Nothobranchius furzeri: one gene and its partner. The protein of the gene in region 1 interacts with the protein of each later gene in a biochemical or structural test. Links are inferred from orthologs where the notes say so. Each region holds a gene or a part of one and is shown on either strand. Other genes may lie near its edges.

Region 1 (3,995 bases):
CAGAATCTGCAGAAAAACTCAGAAAATCCCTGAATATGGGTTTAGCAGCAGGGACACGCATATAAATAGAACCGCATGTCCAAGGATTGCTGCATAAATCTCTAATTATATAAATCTGAGTAGAAAATTGTCTCACTGCAGTAAGCCAGCGAGTTGACGACAAGTAAAAGATGTAGATAAGAATAAAGTCCTCAGATATGTCAAATGTTTTGTTTTTCTTTTGGAGAACAGAACAAAGAAACGTGTGCATAAAACTGAAACATGAATGAACTGACTAAGACGATGGAGTCAAACTTTTGCTTCTTTATCTTGTTTTTTTTTATGGATCCGAGCCTGAAGACTTGTCCTTTTTTGTGCGCAGCATCATGTGAGGAGGCTGTTGGAGGACAACATGGAACGCCCTCTATTAGAATGTGTCAGAAGTCACAGCTCGTCCTCGGAGCTCATTGTTCTGTGCCCTCTCGTGCACATTTGCGTAGGAAAACGGATGAAGAAGTACAGCTAAAAGCAACTTTTCCGGGAAAATGCCTCGGCCCTCCCCGGTGCACCGGGAGTTCTGTAGTTCTGAGAAAGATGACAAAAGAACACGGGGAACTTATTGCACCTGGAACAGCAAGAAGCAACAAGCCCGTCAACTCGAAAAAGTAGCTAAATTTTTACGTTTCCTGCTATTCCTGCGTGAATCTCACCAGGATACAGAAACGAGCCTAGAACCTAAAAACAGCTTTAATTTACATGAAAGGGAACATTCATATTTACACCTTTTTCCTCTCTAAACACAGTTTTTTTTTAAATGGCACCAGCTTTAATTTATCTCTTGCATCTGCTCAGTTTTGACATTTAAAATGTCATTTACACCGAGGGGAACGCCGCCGCTACTTTATGACTCAAAAACAATAGTTTGTTTTAAAACTATCTAAAGAATTATTAGCCAAGCTCGCTGCAATAAAAAGTGTTTTTAATTGTGGCTTCATAATCAACACCCCAACATTATACCGCCCTGTTCTTCTTCTGCTGTGAATAATGCAGAAACACATAAGAGAACTAGACATGCATGTTTCCAATAAGCAGCTGTTATTCTATTTTTGCTGATTAAAAAAAATGTGCACATTTAAATATGGAAAAATCCCACAAGAATAGTGGAATTTATAAGAAAGAATGAGTCAATAAAGACCTATATGACTTTGAAAGTATAAATTATCCACTTATCATTTCTCCACACTTACAGGCTTATGTCATTATTGACGTTTGGATTTTCTGCTGACTGGAAGCCAGTTAGTTAATTTATCTTGAGAAATCAATTAAATTTTTTTACTGAGTCTCTAACAGCAAATCTTCCATTTTTGCATCATTCTTGGATACATTTAGCCAAACTGAAATAAATAAATGACTCAAGTGATTATTTTCTACCTCTTCAAAAGAAGAATCCTCAGATTTGTTGTAATTGTTCCAGGTAGGTGATTGCAATATTGGTCAACTGTTGCAGCAGTTGTGGCATTTCCCATCCTTAACAGACTTAATGGATTCATATATTTTGTTTTTAGAATAAAATAAATATCAGATTTTCCCCCTTTTGCCCTTCAGATAAAACTCCTGTAAGGGGAATTCTGTTGTAGGGAGAGGAGTTAAGCGTGTTTAGGCTGGGTTAGATAAAACTTCTGTTTTCTGGAATATTGAATGTGTTACTTTAATAGGATGTGTGGGTCGGAGCATTGGTTTTATCCTGGCTGTCTGCAGAAGGACCCTTGATTTTACGATGAACAACCGAGTCTGCAACGCTTTAGCATTTTATAATGCATCAGCTGCAGAGCCCCAAACTACAAATATATAAGCAAAAATACAATTAAATGCATGTATTGCATTGCAGTTGATAAAATGTTTATCAGATCATCTCTGGACTTCAGTTGAAAGTGACCCTGTGGATCTCTGAAGAAATAAAACCTCCACTTTTGTAAATGAAACAGGAAAAAACAGCCCTGAATGTTCATGTCTTCTGTTTGAGCTTAGACGACTTGCAAGCTTCATGTCCAGACATGCCGATCTGGGTGTGCGTGCGCGAGACGAACCCAGAGCAACGTGATTTACTGGAGATGAGGTGAGCACAGAGGAGATGTGACCTCAGACCCGTGCGTGACTGGAGGCCTTTAGGGACCCACAAATTTTGACTCACCTGCGTTGTAGAACCGGTCTAAAACTGTGGTCTCCCCAAAGTCCAGCCTCCCAAAGTTGACAGTGTCCAGTTTGCTGCCCACCCGGTCGCACGCGTCCTTCAGACACTGCAGGGCCATGCTCTCCGCGTTGTTCTGCGGGCTCGCCTCGCCGTTCACCACGTAAGCCACCGTCACCGGTCTGCTTTTACCGGGCTTACAGGTGGACAGCAACCCCCCGCCCTCCATTAGCTCATCCCCGGAGGTGGGACTGACCCTGCTGCCTGGGAGCAGCGGGTCCTGCCAGAAAGTCCCGGCTGCTGGGATCCCGGGAGCGCCGCCGCCTCCTCCAGCGCCGGTGCTGCTGGGATGTTCCCCGCTGACGGTCTCTCTGCCGGAACAAAAGCTGGGAACCGGGAATGAGATTCCGTCCTGGTCTAGATTCATCTCGTTTCAAGTGTCAGTTAAAGAGTTGATCGCAGTGAGCGGCTCCTCCAGCAGTCCTCCATGGAGAGGCGGCGTTACGCACGGAGCTTCTGCGCAAACACGACATGCGACTGAGCGTTTCCACGCGGGTAAACAGCCTGCTAGAGGCGGCAGGGGCGCAGCTCCGCGTCAGGCTGCATGTTTCTGTTTGATGACGCCGAAAATCAACCGAAGTCAGTCACAACAACAAAGCGAAGGAGGAGAGGAAAGCGCAGCGAAATCCGCGCCACATTCCGCCTCAGCTCGACAGATTCCTGCGCTCCTCTCTCCCACAGCACTTCTCAAAGTTAGGCAGCGGAGCAGCAACGCCCACAGGAATCACCAACGTCACAGCGAGTCGAAGTTGGAGCTGCGCTACGTCATCTTTTATAAGAGACAGAGAGAGCGTGCGCATGCACTGACAGGCGCCTCGAATTTGCGGGCACACCCTGCCCGTTTCTGCTGTTATCTCTCCGAGCAGACCCACGCACTGGGCGGGCAGACAGCTGTAGGAGCTGGGTGGAGGCTCGAAGCTGCTTCAGGACACCAGAACAAGCGCACCTTCTAAAACCCATCAAGTTTCACACCAGAGCTTCATGAAAATGTCATTTAACATTCTCCCTCTCCTGATAATAACTTTTTGCTTTCCTTGACGTTGGATGTGCTACTACTAGTTTATCCGTTTAATTATAGATCCACTAGGATACATACAATAAAGTTTATCTCTCACCAAATAGAATATTTACTAAGACATCACAATATAACTATAGACACATTACTTTGTGTGTGTGTGTGTGTGTGTGTGTGTGCGTGCGTGCGTGTGTGTGTGTGTGTGTGTGTGTGTGTGTGTGTGTGTGTGTGCGTGTGTGTGTGTGTGTGTGTGTGTGTGTGTGTGTGTGTGTGTGTGTGTGTGTGTGTGTGTGTGACTGCTCTATCTTCTCGATCCCCAGTGAGTCATAGAGGATGGCTGCTTATACTGAGCCAGGATTCTCTGAAGGTTTCTTCCTGTTAAAAGGGAGTTTTCCTCTCCACTGTTGCTGCATGCTTGCTTAGAGGATTGCTGTATAGTCACTGACACTAGTCAGTGACTTGATGCAATTTTCTGGGTTCCTTATATAGGAAACATTATTTCTGATTGGCTTAATGAACTGACCTGAATTGGAATGTTTATTATGTGAAGTGCCATGAGACGACTCTTGTCGTGATTTGGCGCTATATAAATAAAATTGAATTGAATTGAACTGAAAATAAATCTAGTCCCTTACTGTTTTCCCCCCCTCCGTTTGAAACTTTCTCTGTTGTTGCACAGCAACGTAATGCCATCGCCCAGGCCCTATTCCAGGCAGGAAGCCCATTATCAGTTCCGGCTCGTGTGTAAAACCT
Region 2 (3,514 bases), on another chromosome or scaffold:
GTGGAACCTGATCTGCCTCGCTCAACTGTCTGTAGAGGATTCTGAAGACGTCTGGATATTCGTGGTGTTGGTGTCAGGTTTCGTGCTTTTTGGCCTGAGTGGTTACCTGACTTACCGGAAAATTAATGAGCTGTCGAGGAATATTGGCTCGCTCCCGGAGCTCAGGGATGGATTACACCACGCTGTGAACGCATAAACTCATATAATTGTCGAGATGAGTCGTAAGCTTGGAACTTTGGCTGAGATTCAGACTTTGGCACAGAAGGTGGATTTGATCAAGGAGAAAGTTGACGGATCAGCACGGATTGGGATAGATAAATTACGCCATTACTGGATTTAGAGGGGTTGAGGACCAACAGAACTTTAAGACAGAGAGGAAATGATCTCTGTCTGGCCCCAAAACAAGTTCTTATCTGAATCTGGTGTCCTTGAGCCTGTGAGGCTGAAGAGATTACTCCCCCTCAGAAGAAATGTGGAATGCTGCCATCGCCATGGTAACTCTGTCTCCCTATCCCAGCCTGGGCGGGACTGTGACCGGTGAAGGCCGTTGAATCGCTCTCTAAACCCAACTACCTCCCTCCCCTGTCCAAACAGAGGTGACGAGCGCTGTTTATCATGGCTGCATGCACTGATGTGTGGACAGTCCCCAACCCTACCTCCCCACCTAGTGGACACTTATGTTGTGTAATGTTTGAAGTCTGTTGCATTTCTGTCTGAGGTGTTTTTTACATAGCGAAGCTGCCCCCCTGTGGAGGGTAACTCTGAAGTGCCTTTTTTTTCCTCCACCTGACTCAATCCTTATATATAAACCCTCTGATCTCTATTAAAGTAGCACCACTCGGGTTGCGAATGACCACAGTCACCAATTCTTGTCATGTGTCTATGACTATGTATATATGTCTGATCTCAGAATTGTGTGAACTGAAACTCTAATGTCCCTCTGGGATTAATAAAGTATCTTTGAATTTGAATTGAATTGTCTTTCATAAGATGTTTTTTAAATACTAGTATGCACTGAGTAAAATTAGCATATTTTCTCACAGTGAATTACCTAAGAATTTTCATAAAGCTAAAAGGATAAATTATCAAGTTTTAAATAAAAATGAATGGCAAGTGCTTAAAATAATAAAAGTGCATGTTTTTTCTTTACAATTATAATAAAATTATAATGCACTGATATGAAGTATTTTTGGTTTTAGATAATTCAATAAAAAACAGACCATTTCTTAAAATAAATGCTCCAAAAGTTTTTAATATTTGACAAATAAATAGTTGTAACACCAGGGTTATCAGAGGAAAAGTAACTTAACGTGTGTGCTCCATGAAAGGGGCAAAAGAAATGTTTTTTTATTTTACGTCATTTCAGCGTTGGCATTACATGAACGCGCCCAAAGATACGGGAATGCGCCTGCACGAACCCGGAAGTAAGCAACAACAAACTAGCTTCGTCGCCGCTCACCGAGCAGCGGATTATTATTGACCACAGTGACATTTTAACAGTCTTTGCTTTCAAATATATAAGTCAAATATTTTAATCGAAAAAGTTTGAGATGGGAACTACAGCGAGTCAACTCGGAAAGGCTGACCTGTCAGAATACCAGGTAAGTGTTTATCGTGTTATTTGCTGTAGTCCAGCAAATGCTGAAAACTTAGTTTTACAGAGTATATTTATACTAATCACACTTATCAAAGGTTTTGAGATAAATACGAAATTAGTCAGAATTTCAGCCAGGATAAGAGCAGACGCTTGTTGCATAGAAGCTAAACGTTGGTAATGCTGATAGCTTTGAATCAGAAAGGGGCTTGTTTTGACTTGTACTCATCTACAGTACATCTGATTTTAGGAGCTGACTTTCCTGACTAAACAAGAAATTCTTCTGTAAGTTACAGGTTGTATGACAACTAAGAAAATGTAAACTATTCTTATAGATCATGGGATAGATGTCTGATTTATTCCTGTTTTTTCCTAATAAGTGCTCATAAGAGATTCACTGAGTTGCTCCCCAAAGAGGAAAAAAACTCAACAAATGCCAGAGTTCCAATGACAAAGATTCTCACGCTGCCTGAGCTGAAGGTAACAGGAAATTTCAGTAGAAGTGTGGCAACGTTTCTATTTATTGGTGTAATCTTTATAGAGGAAGTGGATGATCTAATAAAGTGAACTTTGAACTTGTTCTCGTCCTAGTCTAACCCTTTCAAGGAAAGAATCTGCCTGGTTTTCTCAACAACTAACCCAAACGATGGAAGCTTCAGCTTTGACGATTTCCTGGATTTTTTGAGTGCCTTCAGTGACTCGGCTACGTTGGAAATAAAATCCCACTATGCTTTCCGTATATTTGGTAAATGTTGATAAAACACGAGCTGGTCAGTTTTTTCTTAGCTGCACTGATCTTGTCTGATCATTAGCTTTATATTTTCAGACTTTGACAATGATGGGACCCTCAGCTGTGGCGATCTGGAGAAGCTGGTTGACTGCTTGACTTATGAGTCGGAAGACTCGCGTCTAACCACTGAGGAAATGAGACAGCTCATAACTAATGTGAGTTCACTTCGACTGTTTTTTTTCTCTCAAAGATGCAAGAAGCACACTCCAAAGAGATGCTCTGAGGCATCATCTGGGCACAAATGAATCTTGCTTTTGTTTAGATCCTTGAAGAGTCAGACATCGACAAGGATGGGACGGTGAATCTCTCGGAGTTTCAGCATGTCATTTCAAGATCTCCAGACTTTGTCAGGTGGTTTTCCCAAAATAATATCTGACACATAAATCTTGAGGAAATGTTTTCTAATCATCACAATTGTTTTTTTCCCCCCACAGTTCTTTCAAGATTGTGCTGTGAGGCCTTGGAAATGGCCAACTTTTAATTTTGTTTTTAGTGAAAAACTATACTTGCCTTTAAATTTTACTTACTTCTGGATTTTACTCTTATGATTTTATGAATTGTTTGTGAAATTTATATATATATATATATTTTATAACATCTTTAAAATAAAAGTTTAAGGTATTAGATTACTAAAGTTCTTCATTGACACAAATAATTTATTACAAAACATTTTCCACAGCGTAACTTTCTGATGTAATTTAGACTTCCTTGTACGCCGACCAAAGTCCAACGTGGGGGCAGATTCAGGGGATTGTCAGGTATTTTTGAGATCAAGTACTCCCTTCTTGACGGCGGCAGTAAAAGTGTTCCACGGCCCACACACCACATCGACAACATGCAGGTCCTTGGCCTTAAAAAACTCCACACGTCGCGGTTCGTCTAAACTGTTAAATGTCTGGTGTCCAAGTTGGCCGTATTCTCCTGGGGGACAAGAACAGAAAAAGAATAGCTTAATATTTGCTGATAATATATTAAATTTCAATTTGAGTTGATATCCTGTTGTAAGAATAGAACAACTTTATTGTCTGACACCAAGCGGTTACAGAAATTTGTCTTTAAGAGGGCTCATCGTCATCCACCTCATCATTCACACTTTCATAGAACAGTAAATACAATAAAAAATCATAAAA

Evidence for each region. The genes of interacting proteins can lie anywhere in the genome.
Region 2: the proteins of map3k5 (region 1) and calcium and integrin-binding protein 1 form a complex in vitro, tested with the Homo sapiens proteins (2 studies listed by BioGRID and IntAct). The link is inferred for Nothobranchius furzeri from reciprocal best matches to the Homo sapiens genes MAP3K5 and CIB1.

The regions. Positions count from the first base shown.
Region 1 is NC_091742.1:11,510,401-11,514,395, forward strand, and holds the start of map3k5 (mitogen-activated protein kinase kinase kinase 5), read right to left. Parts: upstream 2,807-3,995; 5' UTR 2,595-2,806; coding exon 2,171-2,594; intron 1-2,170. UniProt on the Homo sapiens protein: Serine/threonine kinase which acts as an essential component of the MAP kinase signal transduction pathway. Plays an important role in the cascades of cellular responses evoked by changes in the environment.
Region 2 is NC_091744.1:74,254,115-74,257,628, forward strand, and holds calcium and integrin-binding protein 1, read left to right. Parts: upstream 1-1,338; 5' UTR 1,339-1,550; coding exon 1,551-1,601; intron 1,602-1,844; coding exon 1,845-1,879; intron 1,880-1,974; coding exon 1,975-2,074; intron 2,075-2,185; coding exon 2,186-2,339; intron 2,340-2,420; coding exon 2,421-2,539; intron 2,540-2,646; coding exon 2,647-2,735; intron 2,736-2,818; coding exon 2,819-2,840; 3' UTR 2,841-3,010; downstream 3,011-3,514. Other genes in the region: RCC1 domain-containing protein 1, read right to left, coding at 3,139-3,305. UniProt on the Homo sapiens protein: Calcium-binding protein that plays a role in the regulation of numerous cellular processes, such as cell differentiation, cell division, cell proliferation, cell migration, thrombosis, angiogenesis, cardiac hypertrophy and apoptosis.